Linked DNA regions of Drosophila melanogaster. The protein of the gene in region 1 interacts with the protein of each later gene in a biochemical or structural test. Each region holds a gene or a part of one and is shown on either strand. Other genes may lie near its edges. The genes, in order: CG1024 and CG30020.

Evidence for each region.
Region 2: the proteins of CG1024 (region 1) and CG30020 form a complex in vitro, tested with the Drosophila melanogaster proteins (one study listed by BioGRID).

What each region holds. Positions count from the first base shown.
Region 1 is NT_033777.3:6,373,820-6,383,822, reverse strand, and holds CG1024 (uncharacterized protein), read left to right. Parts: upstream 1-3,615; 5' UTR 3,616-3,658; coding exon 3,659-3,805; intron 3,806-3,868; coding exon 3,869-5,353; 3' UTR 5,354-5,417; exon of another isoform or gene 5,418-5,427; intron 5,428-5,589; exon of another isoform or gene 5,590-5,643; 3' UTR 5,644-5,669; coding exon of another isoform or gene 5,670-5,857; 3' UTR 5,858-5,918; coding exon of another isoform or gene 5,919-6,003; 3' UTR 6,004-6,474; downstream 6,475-10,003. Other genes in the region: TfIIFalpha (transcription factor IIFalpha), read right to left, coding at 1,294-1,495, 1,554-2,141, 2,218-3,137, 3,204-3,227; CG42537 (uncharacterized protein), read right to left, coding at 5,670-5,857, 5,919-6,003; CG42564 (uncharacterized protein), read right to left, coding at 6,555-7,440, 8,409-8,803, 9,123-9,344; CRAT (carnitine O-Acetyl-Transferase), read left to right, coding at 9,978-10,003.
Region 2 is NT_033778.4:10,881,763-10,894,098, reverse strand, and holds CG30020 (uncharacterized protein), read right to left. Parts: upstream 7,290-12,336; 5' UTR 7,123-7,289; coding exon 6,733-7,122; intron 6,664-6,732; coding exon 6,564-6,663; intron 6,502-6,563; coding exon 6,085-6,501; intron 6,024-6,084; coding exon 5,874-6,023; intron 5,817-5,873; coding exon 5,703-5,816; intron 5,629-5,702; coding exon 5,278-5,628; intron 4,489-5,277; coding exon 3,757-4,488; intron 3,687-3,756; coding exon 3,507-3,686; intron 3,447-3,506; coding exon 3,351-3,446; intron 3,237-3,350; coding exon 3,201-3,236; intron 3,113-3,200; coding exon 2,840-3,112; intron 2,692-2,839; coding exon 1,782-2,691; intron 1,722-1,781; coding exon 1,541-1,721; 3' UTR 908-1,540; downstream 1-907. Other genes in the region: cag, read left to right, coding at 130-242, 300-864; CG18004 (uncharacterized protein), read right to left, coding at 7,792-7,888, 7,947-8,509, 8,567-8,800; Hao (hydroxyacid oxidase), read right to left, coding at 9,299-9,995, 10,064-10,467; Pex6 (peroxin 6), read right to left, coding at 10,984-12,336.

The DNA.
Region 1 (10,003 bases):
CTTGCAAAAAAGCTAGAGTAGCTATCTGGATATGTAGAGATACATATGTATTGACTGGATTGTTTTAAACAATCCTGACATACGGATTGAATGTTTAGCGACGAGGAATGCAATTCGCGTTAATTCGCTTTGTTTGGAAGGCCGATATCAATTTACACATTACACAGCGTACGCAGCACCCACCCACCAACACACAAACACGCGCACACACACACACCTTGAACTTTACAAGGCACGAGTGTGGTTTCAAGGTTTTCCTTTTTGGGGGAGGGCATACGCTCACGCAAACACGCATACATACATACATAGGCACTAGGCAGGTGTTTCCTGAATGGTGTACAACGGTGGGTTACAGGTGAAAAGCGGCCTCGATTGGAGGCAGCAGCCCACAAGTTATTGCACTTAAATTTCGTATATTCGCTTTTGTTGTTTTTTTTAGGCGCCTCTGTGTGCGTGCCTGCTACTGTGCTTGTGTGCGTTCAATTAGCACAACAACAAAGCAGCTGAGCGATTTCCTTTTGCTTTCCCGACGCCCATTCGCGTAAATCCACTGGTCACTCACTTGATTAGGGCTTCTCGTGCTCTTAGTTGACCGTTTGGAGCGACTTCTGGCCAGTTCCTGTATCCAATCCTATTTTTTCAGCACTCGCTCGCCTCCTCACTCGTCGCCATCGCACTGGTATTGCGTTGTACTTTGTTTTGCTCCCTTTTGGGGCTCGGACTCCTCGGGTTCCTTTAGTTGGTGGTCGTGGTTCAGCGGGGACAGCGCAGTGGCTGCGAAAAGAGCATGACAGTCGCGATAAGAACGCTTTGGGTTTGGTTCACTTTTCTAATTATCGGATATTAGAATTTACATCCCACCCGAACACAGACACATATACAGGGCTAGAGCTGGAACTAAATCGATGTATAGCTGCTGCTGGCTTCCTGACGGCGATGTTTTCGTACATCGATTACTCCCATATTTCGATAGCTATCGACTAAAATTTTAAAAATATTAAAATCCAGTATTCTCAGCAACTGTTTCAGATCATTGTACAGAATTTAGAATTCTCAACTTCAGAACCTGAAACCATATAGAAATATAATACTAAGATATAGCATTAATAACTAGTTTTTAAGATTCTAGAAGTACAAATACAATGAATTGGTTAAAATCAGTTTCTGTGCAAAATACTACTTGCCTTTTCGAATTAACCAAGAAAATTAACCGATTTTCAGTGGTGCGTTTATATTTTGTGTTGAACAATAATGCATTTGAGTTATGAAACATTAAAATCACATGACTGCGGGCTACTTGATCCAGAGATACATTTTCCCCTGGATGGTGTGCTTGACGGGATTGATCTTCTTCAGGATTTTCGTCATGGTCTCGACCAAACGGTCGCTGGAGACAGGCGTCTTCTTGTTCTTGAACTTGGTGAGCAACTCGGTGGCGGTCAGGGGCTTTCGCTTAAGATACCGACGCACCGCCTCCTCGGTGATGCCGTAGTCCCTAAACAAAATACATGAAATTAGAATTAGGAATTCCAGTATATCACGGCTTTACTCACTCTACTTTGCCGCCAGAGAAGGAAGTGGGCAGCGATGTGCTAATCTCGTTCTTAGGCCTCTTTGCTGGCGTGCTGGTGGGACTGTTGCTTGTGTCCGAAGCGGTGAGATCGCTGGGTAAGCTGTTCATCTTGCGCTTGCTGGCATCCGTCGAGAGCGTTGGAGTGGCCGAGCGAGATTTATTGGCATTGCTGCTGCTGGCGATGACCTTGCTGCTCGCAGCGCTCTCTTTCTCCTTTTCCTTTTCCTTGTCTTTGTCCTTGACGACGACCTTCTTCTTGGGCGGTCCGTTGCTAAGGTCGTCCTCGGAGTCTGTGCTGTCAGAGCTGAAGTCTGTGGACGAGTCACCGCTGCCATTCGACTTGCCCTTCTTGTCGTCCTTTGTGGGTTTCTTCTTCTTTTTGTCCTTGGATACCTCGTCCTTGCCCTTATCCTTCTTTTTTTTCTCGCCGTCGGCATCCTCCTTGTCCGACTCATCAGACTTCTTCTCATCATCCTCCTCTTCATCGGAGGTAAGCAGCTTGCGGAGCGCATCTTCCTCGGCCACGCCTTTCATGTCCTTGTCCACCTTTGCCTCTGGATCTGGTTCGCTAGAATAGGGTATAAGAAATTAGTAGATGTGGTCCAAATTGTATTGCCATTATCAGAATCGTTTGGGGCACATACTCTTCACTGGAGCTGGTGTCGTAGTCCATTTCTCTGCCCTCCTCGTCACCATCGTCCGACTCCTCGAAGGCCTCGTCATCAACATCCCTCTTTTTCTTTTTCTTGTCTGCGCCCTTCTTGCCCTTTCCCTTGGCCTTGCCATCGTCGCTGTCTTCCTGCTCCTTCTTCTTTTTATCCTCCTCGTCCTCCGAATCCGACTCATCCTCGGAATCAATCCATTCATCCATGTCAGTGATCTTGAGCTCCTTGGATTTTTTGGTGGCTGCCTTAATTAGCTTAGCCTCCTCCGGATCCTGCTCCTCTTCCTCATCGCCGCGCAGACGCTTTCGCAACATAAGGGAGAAGTAGTTCATCACCTTTTTGCGCCGACCAAATTCCTGTTCGGCCTCCTCCGCCGACAGCGATTTGTAGCGCTGAATAGGCTGGAAGTTGTACCACTCGGTCAAGGGGTATGCCTCAATGGCGCCGTCTGGTGCATGGGTGAACACATAGAAAGCTGCATTCTCGCCTACGCCGCCCTCGCGGATGCCTTTGAACTTCTTTCCAGTCTTGCCACCCACTTTAAGGATCCATGGCTGTGCCTCTGGACGGTACTTTCTCGCTATAATGCCAAACTTCTTGCGGCGCGCCTCCTCGCGCTGATCCCGGTTGTACTCCGATCCAGCACCAAACTTGGGCTGATCCTCCTCCATGCCCCGGAACTCCTTCATGTTGTTTTCCCGCTCCAGTTTCACATTTCTCCACTGCGCGAAATCCACATTGAGCGTGGCGTTGAACCGCATCACATGGTGCTTCTTGGGCATCTTGGGCACGCGGATCTTGAACTCCTGCACGTTGGCGGATGACGAGGCGGATCCTGAGGCGACAGAGGCTGCGGCGGCGGCAGCTGCGGACGTGGAGCTCCCGCTGGCAGCGCTCGGCTGCATGAAATCAAGCGAAGACCGCAAATAAGTGTTGGCGCCGGAAGCGGCAGGGTAAAGACTTACCGTCGACTTTGACGCGCTCGACATGGCTTAATGTTTGCTAATCATATGTTGCTTCTATCTGGATATTTTATACTTTTCCCCAAACTCTTACAATTCGCGGCGCGGGCAGAAAAGTTGGATTTTCTAGCGATGTCCGATAACAGAAGTGCAGTTATTCTTTGGAAGCAAGTGTATCGTATCGTTTGGGCAGAAAAATAATATTTATTCCAAGAGATTTTGATAAACAAATTGGAAAAGTAGATATTATAAGATTGCATATTCAAGCCCTACAAGGTATTTAAAAACTTCAAAGTTTTGTAATGTTCTATCAAAATAAAGTGACAGCCGATATCCGTTCACAGTCACGGTTATCGATTACCTCTTTTTAGATAAACGATTGTCGCCATAGCAAATAACGATAAATTCACAAAGCGCTGTCTAGTTTGTTTGGATTTCATTTGCAGTTTGTCGCTTAAATGTTAGGGAAAATGTCGCGGAACGTGACGCTCTCGGATGAACAAAGTCGGCTTAATGCGCGTCTGGAGGCGCACATGGTTTACATATGTCCGGAATGCGGCAAGGCGTTCCGCACTCAGGCGGAGTGGCGACAGCATCTGAACACGGCAAGTTGCGGGTTTTGTGCAAATCAAGTTCTGCTTTAATAATGGTTTGAAATGTGCCCACAGAAACACGACTATCTAAAGAAGACGTACTCAGATTTCAACTTCATCCAGATCGACGAGCGATTCCATGAGTGCCAGCTGTGCTTCAAATGGGTGGAGAATGCCCACAAGACAATCGCCCTCCTGCAGTACCACTACTTTATGCATCTGGAGCACAGTGAAACCTACCGCTGCGTGCACTGCCGCATGGCGTACACGAGGCGCCGGGCTCTGAACGTCCACCTACTGGACACGCACATGCGGGAGATCGAGAAGTACGAGAACAAGCTGCGCCAGATGAAGCGGCAGCAGGCGAAACCCACTACAGCGGCCGCACCAGCTGGAAATGCAGAGAAGCCGATGGCTGTGAAGCCGCGTGGGCGTCCCAAAGGTTCCACGAACAGAAAGCAAAATGATCTGCTGCAAAAGGCGCTGATGGACATTGATCTGAACACAGAAATGGAAAAGTCCCCAGTGACAGCACTAGCGGCTCCTGTAAACGAACCTAAGCCCATTTCAAATGTCAGCGAGCTGAATCTAGATCGGTGTTTGAATGCCTACGAGGACATCGTGCGCAAGGAGGAGAAAGAGGTGGTGCCGAAGTATGACGACGAGTTGGATGCGCTCTGCAAGGAGTTTTTTGATGATGGCCCCTCCGCCGGCAAAGGAGAAGCTAATGAGGAGCAGCAGCAAGACGATGCGCACCTGCAGCAAGGAAATCAGGAGGTGGTCATCATCGAGATCGATGCACTCGGCAAGGAGGAAGTGGCCCAGCTGAAGAAGGAAATGAAGTCGGACCCAATAAGTCAACCGACTAAGCGTCGACGCATCTCTACGACGCCCAGCCGCGACTCAGACACGGAAATGTCCACCAACGGCCTCACGAAGCTCATATCGTACTTGTGTCCGAAGTGCGGCAAGGAAATCGCCTCGATGGACGGTTGGCGGGCACACGTATTCAAGAAGCACGACTTCGAGCACATAATCGAGAACAGTTTTAAGATCCTGGAGTCCGGGCGCAAGGCCATGTGCCTGCAGTGCCGTGAGGTGCAACCAACGACCGTGCGCTCACAACTGCAGAAGCACTGCTTCAAGCATCTGCCCTACCGGTCGTACCTCAAGTGCACACTCTGCGATCGCACCAAGACCAGCACCTCAAAGATCCTCAATCACATTCGCTACAACCACCAGGAGGAGCTGCAGCGTAAAAACAAGACGCAGCTGCTTATTAAGCCGGAGCCCATGTGGGCCAGTCCCAACAAGTCCGGTCAAGCGGCCATGGCGGATGACGCCGGATCCGAGGACGATCAGGGCGAGCAAGCTGTGTGCGAGCACTGTGACAGAGTCTTTAGGAGCAAATGGCGCTACGAACGACACATTGCCTCTTGCAGGAGATCTGGAGCTGGCAAGTCAGTCGAAGGGACCGTTGAAGCCTTGTTGAACCATCTGCGAGAAGGGCACATGCGAATGAACGCCATCTGGAAGACGATGCAACGTGAAAAGCCTTAGGTATAGTCTAGTTAAAGTTAAGTCGGTCCATCGTTTTGCAAATATCATCAAGTGTAAAATATACGTAAGTTTTCAAATCCTTGTGCAAATATTGTGCTAGGAAAAGATCATAATTAACACATACGACTTACATGCCTATGAAACATGTATCAATCTGCATTTAAGTTGTTATATGTTAACTATATAGCGTATACAACTAAATAATATATAGATATTTTAAATCCATTTCTCATAAATATGTTTTTCAAGAAGTACATTTATATTTTTTTTTTTTTTGCTGTGAATTATAGGACAGGATCGATAAAGGCATTTAAATTCATGGGCACGACCTTTGACAGTGTCTCAAGGAGCAGTAGCGATTCTGGTTGCCGCCACATCCGAGGTACTTCATCTTGAGGCACTTCCTGGTTCTCTGGTTATAGTACCACATTTCGTCCATGGCAGTTCTCCGGCAATGCCTTCCCCCAAATCCTTCGTTCTTGCCGCCTTCGCAACTCAGACGACCTGTGTGAAAGTGTAGATCAGCTATAAAAGTACACTTACTAAATGCTGTTATTAAACATACCCCTAGGACGACCATCGCAGCGATTCTGGCCACATGCGAGAGATACGTAGAGCACAACGCAAGCTAGAACCAAAAGTAACTTCATTTTCAACGGATTGCTCTTTGGAGGGTCGACTTGATATGACTGATCTGTAAAACGATGGACTTATATAGGGGCGGCTGCCAACATTTTTCCCAGTTCCCTAGAACGAGTAAAAAACATCTTGACAATCGACTCTATTGTTAAATGTTTTGAGGCTATCAGATAATAGTATAAAAAAGGGGCTTAAATTAAACTTTTTAAAGGCATAAGATGTGGGATGAACCATTCAAAAACGTTGCTGGAATGAAAATGTATTTTCCACTTTTAACTTAAAAAAAAAAGCTGCAAGATCGATCTTTCGCTCAATCCTATTGATTTCGTATCAGGGCAAAAACACTTGTGCTGAATGTAAATATGATTTAACCAGAATTATATTTACCCAATTAATTAACATTCTTTTCGTTAGTCACTTTGTATTACTAATACGAGGAATACTTTTCTGACTAATTCATTTTATAAATCAGATTAAGGATTAAATTTAACATGACGATTATTTATTATGTTTAATTTAAAACATTTCACTTTAAAGCAATTGTTATTCAGTTAGGTAAGCTTCAAGGCATAGCTATCCATTGCGGAGCCCAAAAGCCACTTGGCTTACGACTGCGCATGTGGCTACCTATCGAGCGTCTCATTATTGCTCTGCGTCTGGAGAAAGCCCTTTCCATGGTTCTAATAGTTGCGTCGCCTTCTGCGCCTTCCTGTTGCACGCGGTCATCATCCACCTCGTGATTGCTGGATATGACCACGATCTTCCGGCGACCATGGAACATCTCAGCCCGCTTTATCAGCGCCAGGAAGCGGGCGAACTTCTTCTCCAGCGCAGCCCTGTCCAGAGGCTTTGGCATGGGTTCCAGTAGCCCTTCGGCATGAGCTTCTTCCCCTCCTGGCGATTCGGAAGCGGGTGTCCCTCCAGCTGTTGGTGCAGGAGTGGAGCCTTCTCCCTCCACCGGGGTGACTCCTGGAGTGGCTCCTGGCGCTGCTCCGTCGACTGCTGGAGTGGCTGCAGCTTCTCCAGGTGCAGCTGCTCCTCCTTCGGCGGCAGGCGCTGCTGCTGCTCCATCGGCTGCTGGTGCTGGTGCCCCACCTTCAGCTGGCGGCGTTCCATCAGCGTTTTCGCCGTTGAGCATGACGAAGTCCCGTTTTCCAAGAGTTCTAGTTTTAATTTCGGGACTGGACGCGTTTCCTGCTTTCGGCGTAACCTTCTCGTAGACCTCGGACTCGGCGCAGAGATGTGCATATTTCGGGTTCGCTCCGGTCTTGCAGGACTCCGCCGCCTTTTTCCCGGGCTCGTAGACGGGCGAGCCCACAACCGGGGCGTGGCCATAGTTGCACGCGAAAAACGTCTGAATCCAGCCATGCCGGGACTGCTGAACGATGGCACAGCCCACGGATTCAGCGTTCTCCAGCACGATCTGTAAAAAGTTGTACTTCGGCGACCTGATAGATGGGAACACAAGTTGAAGTTGATTAATTCCGTTTTTTCATATAGTAATAAATCATGAAACCCACATTTATTTTATGTATTGAATGTTCTTAGATGTAGCCTGGAAATTTACAAGCGAATCTTTATATAAAATATTTAATTTTCGGACCAACAAATAATTAAAACTTTCTAAAGATAAGTTCATGGGGTTGAGTTCTTCTATTAAAGCTTATAAAAAACAATCGTTATGGATATGGATTATGGAATAAGCTAAGATAAATAAACTAAGGTAAGTCCCCTCTTAATTAATTGCAATCAATATCATCTGCAAGAGTCATCCGGCAGAATGCAATCCCTCGCCAGAGAAGAGAGCCCAATGGAATCCACATGCAATCGTTTTATTCTTGAGAAGATCGCGAAGCGTACGGCCGCATATAACATAAGAAGAATTTCATAACGGAGTGTTGTTAAAAGAAACTATATCATATCAAATATTAATATCAATAAAAAAAATGTGAGTGAAATCAACATCAAGACTAAATTACTATAATTTTCCAGCGGGTGGTCATGAAAATAAATGGATTCCTCTCCTTTAAAAGTTCATGTAAAATTGTCAAAAGGCATTTGTCGCACACTCGCGTCCATTATTTTGCAAGCCCTAATATTATTTTAGAAACAAAAAAAAATATTTATATTATCAACATTTATGTTGTCAAAATATAATCAATTGGTGTTTATAGTAATTTTGAAAAATTTAATTTTTAATTTAAGAAGAAAAGTGACAGAATTATAACATTCAGATACTTTGTCTCCTAATAACAACAGGTACAATTTTTCGGTCTTTTTATAAATTTAGATAAGATTTAGAAAGGATTACAAAATATTAAAAAATAAATAATAATCATTTCAGGTTGAAATATTTACCAAATCCCGTAAGGACGCCCGAGTAAACAACCCTATATATTCCTTAAGTGGTACTCACTGAGATTCCTGCTCGACATACTTCATGATGTTCACCATCGAAGTTCTGGATTTTTCCCGCAACCACACCCCTATGATATCCCTAAGGATATCCTCCAACTCTGGCAATTTTCCTTTAATGCCTCGATACCCAACCGTCTGGCCAGCGTTTTGCGTGAACTTCGTGTTCCGGCACTCGTCGTGCCTCAGGACACAATCCCTCACATTGAATTCAGCTAGGTAGGCCAGTTCCGGGTTCCACTTCAAGGTGCCCATCCGACTGGCAGGACTCAGTCCGTTGAACCCTCCTTTGGCCACGCTATCCCTCAACTCATTAAATCGCCTTAATAGGAATCTTTCCACCTTTGGGCTTATCACTATGAGCTCAGCGTCCAGAGAGCACTTGTCGTGCAGTTCCTGAAGATATTATTGGTAACAAGTTAGGATAGTAACGCATTTTGGAAACAAAAATAACCCAGAACTTTTAGTATGACATTTTGTAACGAAGGTATACCTCTCAAAAGCCAATCAATTCGAAATTAATATTCGTCACTAATCAATTTTATCAACAAATTTTATGACATTGAAAATTTGAAAAAGTCCTAAATTAATTTATATTTGGCTTTCTTTCAACCATTTATACCTTATATAGTGTATGCGAACAAAAAATGTTGTTTTGTTAATTTGAATTAGTTGGTTGTTATCACGTGGCACACATTTTAGTTTAGTAACTTACGATTGATGCGTTGCAAGCCACATGTTTGAGTTCTTTGTGGCACAAGGAGGGATCGCAGTAGTCCGGTAGTTCCGTTGAGGAGCTGTTTCCTGGCTCCTCTTGACCTTGCGAACCTCCAGGAGATGGGTGACCAGCTTCGGTGACCGCTGGACTTGGTGTCGTAGTGGCTGCCGTTTGAATGGTCAAACAACTGGCAATCAGAAAAACGACAAGGGCCAACATTTTTCATCCAGAGACCGTGGCGTATTAACGTTAGTTTTTCAAAACGTAGATCAAACGGTTCGGACTGTGAAATCACAATTTGCAAAGATCAAATGATACAGCAAAACCAATGGTAGAATTTTTAGCAGATTAAACATTATATTGATAGTTTGGTTCGTCTCATAAAAAGCCGGAACAAATTATTGGGCAAAGTTTTTTAAAGCTTAATTTTGGATTTCCAAAAAAAAAAAATTGAAATCTTAAAAGTTCACGTTATTCTACTTAATAATATTAACGTTTTGAGATTATCATTCGTGCCGAAAATTTACTAAAGTAATTTTTCTGCAAAGAACCCCCCTAGTTTTTTATGAATACTAGAGCTGGGAATTCATCGATATTATTCACAAAACGTACGCTAGCTTATCATGAACATATATTGCATACTAATAGTATTGCTTGTTTTCTAAATATTAGCTTTAAAGAAGTTTTGGAATTGCTTGTGATTTTAATCGATTGTTATCCATTATTGATAGCACAGTTAAACCAACAACAGGGAGTGCTTATTTACTTGTTGCTGTTTGACAACAGCTGTTTCTTGTTTTGATTTGAACATACAAACATATATAAACATATATGTTTATATAGAATCTATAGATGTTAATTAACCGGAGCAAAACAAG
Region 2 (12,336 bases), on another chromosome or scaffold:
GGTCATACAACACCACATATCTGTGGACGGACGGACACTCCCTTGAGCGGACAAGAAAACTGTCTAATTTGGTAGCAATTTCGACAGATAAAAGTCTTCATCGCTCACTAGTAATGTTCGTCGACAAATATGCCATCGGGAAGAGTCAGAAAACCTAGAACCTCGCTCACTTTGGAAGAGAAAATGGAGGTAATCCAGTCCCAGGAGCGAAACAAGCTATCGGTTCGGGATCTGGCCAAGAGGTAAGATCAATGCCTGATACATACATATGAATGGGTAAAAATAACAAGTTTCCGAAGGTTTAACATTGGAAAGACACAAGCAGCAGACATTTTGAAGCACAAACAGTCGATTAAAGAGGGTCTGTTGAGTGGAGAACTTAAGTTGAATCAGATGCGGAGGAATCCCCTCTCTCAGCGGGGCGCCCAAATCGATGAGATGTGCTTTGATTGGTTCTCCCGTGTCCGTACCGAGAATATACCCATATCGGGGGAAATGGTGCGGAAGAAGGCCAAGCAGTTAGCTGTGGAGCTGGGCCACTCCAATTTCTCTGCCTCCTCCGGATGGCTGGAGAAATGGCGAAAGCGACACAACGTCCGATACAATGACACCGGTGACAGCCTGGATCTGCAGGAGTTCGAGGCGATTCTGGTGAAAAGCGAACCCATCTCGAATAAGGACGATTGTGATGAGCCATACCCCGTGACTCTGATAGAGCCTATCTATTCCACCGAGGAGGCCATGATGCAGCTGGCCCGGCTGAAGGAGTTCGCAAAGGATGACTATGCTTCCTACCAGCAGTTGATCAGTCTGGAAAATCAATGGAGCTGGAAATGGAACATCTTTAAGAAGGAGCTTCCCTGACCCAAGCATGCAATTTAGGTGCAATATAAATACATATTTATCTCGAATCTAGTAGTAAAAGTTATTTAATGTACGTTTCTTTTATAAGTAACATCGTTGAAGATAACTTATCCCTTCTACGCGTTGAATTTAAACCTAAAACTATTGGGTTATTCTATTCATGACGATGCTCGTAAATATACGAAATACATGACCGTTTGCAAAAAAAAAAATAATTATACATATATATAATGGAGAATTTTAAACATTAGATGTGAAGCGTTTCTCTTTGGCCAATACAGAGCCAGCTGGTGGAGATTGCCTCAATCATGCTTGGGAATCGAATGGATTAACTACTGACACCTTGAGACCCGTTGCGGATTGTTATGTTTAAGGCGATACCTTAAGTTGCCATTTGGGCATTGCTACTTTTGGATCCTCATAATACATTGAAAATTTCACCGAAGTCTATTTGTCAATAAGTGATCGGTCGTCTGTATTTCAACTAATTTTGTATAAGAGATTGTGTTTAATGTCCTAGTCTAGAACTTAACAAGAAAACTTCAAGACATTTGATGTGCTAAAATGATGGAGAGGAACAGTACTTAGACTATATCAAACTTTGTACATTGTGCGATTACTTTGCTTGATTCGTAAAAGCATAAGTTCACAACTACTTGGAATTATCGTCAGCTCCTTAGGGCTGCCCATTTTCTTCGCTTGCACCGCTCACATCCTTACGGCCATCCAGGAGTCCCACGGGCGTCGCGACTTTAAGATCGTTAGGTCTGGCTTGGTTCGTAGCCAGGGATGAGAGGTTTCCCAACTCTTCGGTGGTGAAGCGCAAGTCATGGATTATGAGTGCATGGGTTACGAGTCTGCATAAGAGAAATTATTGTAGAAGGCTTACAAACGATTTGAAAAGGGGAATCTCTCACCTGCCACGTCGCAAATAGGAGCGATCGCACTTGGGACACTTGTAGGTTATCTCACCTTTGTGCACGCTCATATGATTTTTCAGATGCACATTGGACTTTTCCTCCTTATTGCAAACGGGACATATATACCGCGTGCTCAGATGAGAGGCCTTCTGATGGCGTATCAAATGGTGTTTGAAGGCAAAAGTCTTCCGGCAGCCATCCATAAAGCACCGAAGCGTCTTATCCTTGCTGTGCTTGGCCTTCGTGTGCCGCTCGAGCTCTGCGATAGTTACAAAGGACTTGGGGCACAGCTTGCACTGTGATTTTCTATTACTGTGTCGCTTCATGTGGAACTTGAGCAACGTAAGCGTGCGGTAGGATGTATTGCAGATGGCACACTTGTGCTGATAGCCCCATCGCGAACGTTCCGTATTGGAGTGCAGCTCCATTTCATGCTTGACCAACTTGCCCAGCTCGTCAAATGTTTGGTTACAGAGTTTGCAAATGTGAATGGAAGAACGATGCAGACGGCTGTTGGAGCGTAAACCCTTCGCTGGCGATGTTTCCAGGGCAGTGGTGGACAGCAGTTTATAGCTTTCATTAATTGGGCAGCTGGATGATGCATTGTCGCTGAGGGCTTTGGATACGTCATGGATATTGGGCGACGATTGCTGGGCTTCGTCTCTCATTATGTCATAATCAAAATCAAATGGTGTGGGCGTGGGAAAGAGAGTGGTGGACGATGAAGCTGTGGTTGCTACGGGTGATTCTAACGAAGTAGCTGTCGCTGCTGCTGCCGCTGATATTGCTGCTGCTATTGCTGTTGTAGTCACCGCTGTGGCTGCGTCCAATGTTACCGGATCTAGTTCTTCCTCTGGCACCGCCGGTTCTGCTTTAACTCCTGTTCCATCATCTGTGCCGCCTTCTTCTGGTGAGTACAACAACAATCGACGATCATTGTTCGTCGCCGAACAACAGCGTTTTTAGATTATCATTTGTATTATGCGTTGGCGTGTTTTGGGCATAGTTGAAATGGGAATTTGATTTGATTAGTGCAAGGCTATTGAGGCTCTTACCATTGCCATCGCCATTGCCTAAAGCTTCCGTCATCTTTTCAGCCCCAACATCCGTCTGCATCATCTCATTGTGTTGGCCATCCACTGTGACCGAGTTTACGGGCTCAGAAATCGTTGATGAGGATGTGGCCATCGTAGTCGTGATGGCTTCCCCGCAATGCGGCGTTTGCATCTCTATAATTGTATCCACCAAATGACTGCGCTGCAGGTGGCGACTAAGAGTGGTCTTGGCCGCAAACGATCGAATGCAGCGCGGACATTCAAATGGTAATTCTGTTGTTGGACGAAAGATGAGTTCATATGTCATAGCCACAACGATGAAAATCGTTTCAAACCTTATCAAAATAACAAAACTACTTACTGCGTATGATAAACACTTCGTTTGCATGCTCGGACACTGGAATGAAAATATGATTTATCTTATTAGAATTATTTCATAAAAACAATGGTAGAATTAAAAATTATATCTTTAATCTATCAATGCTTAATAATTGATCATTGATTTACTCACCTCCGTCATTGATTCCATGGTGGGCATTCAGATGCTTGCGCATCTCCGAATCCGATTCGCATTCAAACGGACACTTTGCGCACATGAGCATTGGATCTGAAGGTAGATAGAAACTGAAGATGGTGTGATCTGTATACTGTATTTTATGTAGCTTACTCTTTATCCTGCCAGGATACAGTTTTTCGATGTTGGTGCGGGCTACGGAAACCTTATCGCCCTTCGCCTGGACCATGTCCCTCGTGGGCATTCGCTTGTGCACAGTTTTATAGTGCTTGATCAGCAATCGCTTCATGTTGTAGAGGTTAGTGCACAGTTCGCAGCGATAGGGAGCCAGACCTGAAGTCCAACCAGATATATGCATGATTATTTAGTAACTAGAGCTGTGTGACCGACCCAGCTTACTTACCCCGATGAACAAACATGTGGTTCTCGAATTTATACTGACTGGTAAACTTCTTATTGCAGTAAATGCAGTAGGGCTTCTGCAGATGCTTCGATTGCTCGTCATCAAAGTCGTCCACATCATCATCGTCGCTGGTCAGCAACAGATTTTGATCAGTGGCAGCATCATTGTTGTCATTCTCGTCTTCATTGTCGGCCTCGTCTTCTTCGTCGGCCACAGTATCATCCTCCTCCTCCTCGAAGTCCTCGAACAAATTCTCGGCATCAAAGTCCAGACTGATATTGTTATTATCAATCACAATGTCATCACCATCCACAACGGGCATGCCATCCGCGGGAATTGTGCATATGGCAGCCACATCGGTGTTGTCAATAAAGTCCTGCATGTCGCCAAACACCGAAACGCTAGATGAATTGGCTGGTGCCTGCTGTACGGCTTCGTTCACGGGCAGGTTGCCCTCTGAGATTTCGGGAAAGATTCCAAATGCATGGTTGCTGGCCGTACCGGTGGTTTCCTCCACCGTTGTCACCGGTGCCGGGTTCGTCACTAACAGGGAGTTGGAGGTTGCCGCATAGAAGAGCGGCGTCGCATCCACCACTACGTTGATGTCGCCCGATTCGGTGATGGTCGTCGATGTGGTGGCCATCGGCTCCGTTTGCTGCATTGGATCAGGCATTGGTTGATGTACCACCGGTTGCGGCAATGGCGCTTGCGTTTCCAAAACACCAGGCGGATCTGGAAGACATTGCATTACAAACATGCCAACATGAAACATATAAAACGGAAAGCCAGGGAATTCAAATGAGTATACAAATTTAAACTGTTGGACTTAAATAAAATTTGGTTAGAGTGCAGGCTGGAGAAACTCAAAGATAAACACGGTAATTATAAACAATTAATTATCAAAAACGAGTTAAAGTGCTCCTTTGAAGTCCTTACCGAAAGTCCACAATCCCTCCACTTGTATTCGATTTGCTTTTATTTACATGGAATAAAGGCCTCAACGTTTTTGTAGTTTCATCAGCGCGATAGCTAAAGAGAGTTTCCCCAATCCTACCCGATAGTTAATGCCAAAAAACTAATTGCCATTATGATCATTATGAGCATCAATTTACTAGAAAGAGGACATAGCCTGGATATACACGGTGTTATGCTAAATTTGTATGTACAACTAATTTTACAATTTAAAATTTCATTGCTGTGATCTACATATTTTCGAGTGTAAACGTTTAATTTAACTGTTGTGTAGAATTTCGGTTCATGGTTTGTCACAAAATTACCGCAAAAAATATGATAAAAAAAAACGTATTGCACGAAGTAAGTTGAGAGCTCAACAAAAAGTATGGTAAAATACCTAATGAATAATAAGAAAATAATAAATAAATAAATATCAACATTAACTCATTCAACCAACGAAAAGATTAATACGAATTTTTGTTTGCGAATCATTTCATAACTGTCCAAAAAACCGGCGAAAGTCGATACCAGTTTAAATGCCCTGGTTAAAACGATCTCATGACTCACATTTAATGCCCAACGGGATGTCGGTGTGATTTAATATCTTGGCCGGAGTCTGCTGCTTGGCGGCAACGCCTCTCGTTGTCGTTGGCTCGCCCGTCCAACTGGGACGCAGCTGCACCTCCGTGGGCTGGACCGTGTGCCGTTCCTTGTAGTGTGTTCGCAACTGGCTAACGGTGGACGTCTCGAACAGGCACATATCGCACGAGTAGACACGAGACTCTATACCTTGCGCCTGTTCCTTGCCGGTCTTGCCATTTTCATCAACCCGATGGTGGACCATCTTGTAATGCTGTATTAGATCGGCGCTGCGCAACGAGTAAAAGTCGCATTGGTCGCAGAAGAATTTGGGAAGATCTGTTGTAAAAGAGATTCGATTAGTCAGAATGAACGATAGCGGGCTGGATTTAATGAAGGTGGGGTAAACTAACTGCTGTGAGTCAACTGATGAGATTTTAGACGCGCTACAGTGGAGAATGTTTTCGGACAGAATTTGCACTTGTGCTTGTGAATGGATGTTCCGATAACGGCCGGTTTTGGCTTGACTGTAAGCGTACAAAAAATAGTAGAATCGTATTGTAAGTCACTGGGACGGATCTTACTTCTTATCTGTGGCATCATTTCCTCCACGATCAATTCGTTGACATCGATATCCATCGGATCATTATGGCTGGACAGGAGATTTTGTAGGCTTACATTGACGTTGCTGGAACTATTCGGTTTGCTATCGTCTATATACTCGATGACCACGCCTGAAAAAGATCAGTATGAGTTGTATTTTGCAATCATGCACCCATGGATAGTTCAACTCACCGCTTCCGTTAACCTGCTGCAGCGAACCGTCGGGAAGGACAAGGTACTCGGTGCCGATGCTAACATTGGGCGTATCCATCGGCGGCAGGGTGGAGGTGAGGCTGTCCACTGACGGTACGGGTTCATCCATGCTGACGGCCAGCTGGTGATCAATGTCTCGCAGTTGGTCGTTATCAATATGCGGATGCGGCTGTACGTAATCTTCCGGCCTAAGTACGGTGGGTATCAGCAACTCCATATCCTCAAGCGTGCACACTGCCTTAACCTCTTCTTCTTTAGGAGCTGGAAGATGCTTTGATTTTACGTACTCCTCTGCCTGGCTAAGGGGCATGTTGTGCATGGTCACATAGTGCTCGAACAAAGTTCGTTGCTTCAACGACGTGAAGCTGCACAACTTGCAGTTGTATGAAAGACCCTCTGGAAAAGTATTTACACTTTTAGTTCAATAAATTACGCTTGTGGCGAAAGTCAAACTGTACCTGCATGCTGGCGTATGTGCTGCTTGAGCTCCAGGCGATTGTAGAGCACTACTCCGCAGACCTGACACTCGTGCCGCATGGTCTTTAGGGGCTGTACCGGCTGAAAAGGGAGAACCAATAGTGATAGTGAAACAATAGCTGTGAAAGCCACTATTTAGGGCAAACATACCTCTGCACACGCTGGCTTTTCCTGCTCCTGAGCCAAAGTGCCATTCAGTCTCTTTGAAACCTTGGGACATAGTTTCCGGCACAGGATCTCGTGGGCACGCAGCGCATTCTGAAGGAAGTAGTAGGCCACCTGCAGGCTCTTGCTGCACTCGAGGCATATGTGTTGCGGCAGCTCCGGCGCATTATCGGCGCTCACGCAGAACAGCAGGCAACGAAGGAGCGGTATCTTCTCAGTGGCGTCCGCCGGGTCCAGACTGCGCGCCACCGACACCGAGTCCAGTTTGACGTACTCCACGTTCGTCTTCAAGCAGCAGCGACATGACAACTTGTAGTCCACTTCGGCGCCCGAAATTGGGTCCGAGTAAGGGCTCTTCCTTTTGTTCAGCGCCATCGTTCACGAGCTGCTCATCGGGTGGCACCCGTATCGGCTGCGGTCCGTTCGAAGCGTTTAGCTGGTAAAGCGCCAGAATTTATCACGTCTTAGAGAATTTAATTTGATTGTTTTTCTCCACTCGCGTCGCGTCGAAATAAATTACAAAGGCAGGGTTGTTCTGCATTGGTGTTTTGCTCGGCAGGGCTGGCTAACAATTACCGATGACCAGGACTGCGCATTCACTCGATATACAGCGTCTATCGGTAAGCAGGCACTTTCGCGCCAACGAATTTTCAGATTAACGCAGGGATACGAACAAAAATTTTAATTTTTGCAATCATTTGTAGGAATTTTAGTTAACTTTAATTTATTTCAACTACTCGCTTCTTAAGCTTTTAAAGTTTGCCAACTGATCAGGGAAATTAAAGCTATAAATTAAAGTTATATATGTTTATTGTTTTTTTTTTATCGGGAGTAAAAAGGCTTAAAATGTTTACAATGATTTTATTTCCATTTAATTTCCTTGTAAGCCCTTTTCGATTATTTAAAGAATAAACATGTTAGTAAATTTCAATCTTGTAGAGGAGCCCCAAGAAAGTTATTTAAAAACAAACTAAATAATATATCAATCCAGCTGGATCTAGTTAATTTATTTTCGTATTTTCATATTTAGCTCAGTAAAGAATATTAACTTGTGTACTCCATGGGCACGCACTCCTCGGCGGCCACCTCGTGCGAGTGAGAGTCGTCCTCCATCAGATGCTGCAGGCTTTCATTGGGATAACTAAGAGAACACGATTATTAGATTGGTGCTGCAACGTGGGAATTGCACAACTTATTACCACTTAGAGGGGCTTTCATCGCTGAGCATCGTTGTGGGCACGGTGGCCGAAGTGCATTCCGGACTCAATAGCTCCAACGGCGTCGGTCGTCGCTCCTGCAGCTGGCGGGCAATCTCCGCTTGGCTGAGGCCGGGCGACACATCCTTCGGAGCAGTCTGTAGTTGCGGTGGCTGCTGCGAAGGTGACACCGTGGCGGTAAGTTGTTTTTTCGCAGCAATTGCTGGGATTCCATGGTTCGCGGGCAACATTCCGGTTAGGATTTTTCGTCTTCGACCTCGTGGGGCGCCCACTGTGGGCATGTGCGGAGGCACACCTGGAATTCCTGGTGCCCCCTTGTCTTTGTGCTTGCGCCGAATGGCGTCCTTGGATGTTTGCGATCCGCCGGCAACGCCGGACGTAGAAGCTGGCTCCGAATCGGAGCTGTCGGTGGCATCCGAGTCGCTAGAGTCCTTGGCCGGCTTCTCGTACACCAGCAGACGGTCCAGCAGGAAGGTACGATCCCGGGAAACTTTCAGCAGACGCCGCTGGTTGGTGTGCAATAGATCCTGGAAGTACTCGTTCTCCTGTAAACACAAAAAGCTGTGACTTGCCATTGGCCAAGTTCAACTTTAGATATTTACATAGATGAGGAACTTCAGCTTCTTCTTGAGGTTCTTGTAGCGCTCCTTGAAGTCAGTCTCGCCTGCGCCCAGGCCCGCGGATACGGAGGATGAGCTAGCGGGCGCTGCTCCGCGGGAAATTGGCGGGACGCGATCTCTGGCGGGCTGTGCGGGCTCGTCGTCGCTCGGCGGCTCGTCCTTTATGGCGCCATCCTCCTGGTTGGCCAGGGATCTGCAGTACCAACCGTCTAGCATTGTATTTTAATGGTATTCGCGTTTTGTTAATTTTTTCTTTTATGTACATGCCTCATAGAGATGGGAGCATTGCGATAACTGCCAGTTTTTCGCACATCATCAACCCAAGCATTGTTATCGGACGACTATTTACCGTTCTAGGTTATCATTAATTTAAAAATTGAGTTTCACCATTTAAGAAATTTATATAAATTTAAAACAATGATCTCTTGTGAAAGAAAACCTTTGATTTGAAAAGAGCATAACAATAATCTGTAAGCTAATATGCACAACAGTTGTGTCTTAAAAATAGGAATATTTCCAAAAAGTCTGACATGTAAATATAATCTTCCTATTATATTGTTTGTCTGAAGAATGATGATAGGTTTTAATTGCTGGAATCTGTTTATTTATCTATCTATCTATCTATTTATTATATATTTATTTATTGACATGTTTATTGGATTTATGAAAGCAAGTTTGATAAGTTTTATGTATCTACACTAAAACGTTCCTGATTTACAGCTTGGCATATTGACTCTCATGTACCACCATTGCCGACGTGATGTCTCCCAAATTTTGGCAACCGATCAGCGCCATGGTGGTCTCAAAGTCCTTTCTCAGCACACTCAGCATCTCCTCCACGCCTTTCTGTCCATTGTAGGCCAATCCCCAGACAGCCGGACGACCCACAAAGACCGTCTTGGCTCCCAAAGCCAAAGCCTTGAAGATATCATTGCCCTGCATAATGCCTCCGTCCAGCATAACCACCAGATTATCTCCCACGGCCTTTACGATCTCCGGCAGGGCTTCGATCGAGGCCGGAACCGTATCGATCTGACGAGCACCGTGGTTGGAAACAATGAGTCCGGCGCATCCAAACTCCTGGGCCAACACAGCATCTTCGGCAGTCAGCACTCCCTTGACCACAATGGGCAGATGAGTGATGCCCTTCAACCAGGCAATATCCTTCCAGGTTATGGTTGGATCAAACTGGCTGGAGACGTACTCATTAATGCCTGAGGCGCCCATAGCGGCATTACCCACTCCAGTAGCCTTAACGCCCTGGAAATTGGCCAATGACAGGTGCGACGGCAAGCTGAAGTTGTTGCGCACATCGGCTCTACGGTGTCCAAAGATTGGAGCATCGATGGTCAGGACGAGCGCTTTGAAGTTCGCCTTCTCGGCACGACGTACCAGCTTTTCCGTTATGGTACTGTATTTAGGAAGTTATGTGTTTAATAAAGAAGTATTTGCTTACATACATAAAGATAATCAACTCACCGATCCTTGTAGATGTACAGTTGGAACCATTTGATGGTATCCGGGGCACCGGCTGCCAAATCCTCCAGCGAAGTGGTGGACAGTGTGCTGAGTATAAAGATGGAGCCGGCTTTTCCGGCCGCCCTGGCATTGCCTACCTCGCCGTCCGGATGGGCCATCTTCTGCATAGCCGTCGGAGCAATGCCCAGAGGCCACTGCATCTGCTCGCCGAAGATCTTGGTACTAATGTCCAGGCGGGAGACATCTCTCAAACAACGAGGTCGCAAGCGTAGCCGGCGGAAGGCCTCGCGATTCAGTCCCAAGGTGAACTGCTCACCGGCTCCGCTACGGTAGTAGTCCAGGGCATTCTTCTCCAGTTGCCCAACGGCCTTCTTTTCAAAGTCCTCTACGCAAACCAAAGCCATGGCTGTTATATAACAGGAGAATGGAAATATACAATGTTTGACAACACCTCTTGACGCACCTCCCAGACTCGCACTGAACCCACTAAGATTAGGTGCCAGCATCAACGCTTTTGTCCGGCGAAATCCATAAACCGGGGAATCGCGATAAGCACACACTGTAGATAAGGGATGCCTCACCAGCCCGAGATTATGAAGTACAGATCAGCGCAGGGATCATTTAAATCAAAAGACGTAATTTTCCTACTCGACATGGGGGGAAGCTATTGTCCGAAATGATAAGAAGCCACTTCGCAAAGGTTAATTGGAATCACCTACCTCCTGCTGTCTTCCACAGTAATTCGAGTCGCACTTCCACACGCTGGTTCCTATTTCATACGAGAGCTCCACCCACCTTAAGTGGTTCAAACGAGTGGAAGCTCGCTGGGAATTGTGAACTATCAACGGGTTTATTGAAAAACAACGAAAAATGTCTGTAAAAAACTAACTCTTAGAACTAGTTAACCATCTGCGCATACTCTAGACACTATATGAAGCCTTTAGGTTGTTGAAATACTCCAGATCCTTGGCGCTGATCGAGGGCACAAACTTGTTGAAAGACTTCGTGAAATCTTCCTCCTGCACAATTACGTTCTCCGGCACCAGTTCCTTCTCTGATATTGTTCCACTCAAGTGTCCGTCTATGGTGCGCCTCACAGCGGAGAGCCATGCATTCGAGCAGATGGAGTACAGATCTGCGCCGCTCATTTCGCTCTTCAAACGCTCGGCAATCTGTTCCATGTCCACACCGGCGTCCAAAGCGAATCGCTGGGTTTGGGCACGCAAAACGGCTGCCTTGTCTTCGGCAGTTGAACAAGGTCCCACGTAGAAAAGCTTGTCAAAGCGACCAGGACGCAAAAGAGCGGGGTCAATAAGATCCGGGCGATTGGTGGCGGCCAGAATGAATATGGGCTTGCTAGTGTCGCCATCGCTCATTCCATCCATTTCTGCCAATAGCTGCGACACCACCCTATCCATTACACCGCCAGAGTCCCCAGCCACACCTCGATTGGGAGCCAGGGAATCCAGTTCGTCCAAGAAGAGTACACAAGGAGCCGCAGAACGAGCCCTGGAGAAGACCTCGCGAACATTCTGCTCGCTCTGGCCGACATACATGTTTAGTAGCTCTGGACCTTGAACGGAAAGAAAACTCAGGTTGCACTCAGTGGCGACAGCCTTGGCCACCAGGGTTTTGCCTGTTCCTGGGGGACCGTAGAGCAGGATTCCCGATCTTCTTAGATTCTTGCCCATGAGGTGAACATGCTTAAGCGGCAGACCAATGCTGCTCTGGATCTCATCTTTTAGCTTGGCTAGACCACCAATGTCCGACCAATAAACCTTCGGCACCTTGGGCGCACCCAAACTGTCCGCGAAAGAGCTCTGCATGTCAGTGAGGTTCTTGGCGAAGTGAGACATATCCAGGGTGGTCCTACCCAACCTATTGCGAATCTTCATGCGAACCGCGTTGTCGTACAGCAACTGAAGGTCGCCGAGCAGAAAGCCCTGTGACTTTGCAGCCACATCCTGAAGGACATTGAGGGTTTCCCTCCAGCTGGGAGAAATGCGTGGCATGAATTGCGACTGATTTTCCCGCGAGAACAAGGGTAATTGCTCAATAGCCTTCTGATTGTAGATAATATCGTTGAAAGTCTCGCGCACGTGCATCCAGCGAAGAATCTCGAATCGCTCCTCCTTGCTGGGCATGTCAATGTTTATGATCTCCAAGAAAAGTCCTTGGATCATGGGTTTAAGGTGTCTGTCACTGGTCAAAGCCACCACTACAATCGGATGCTTGCGGTCCCTGTTGAAGAGTTCCTGGACCTGCACGTGGAA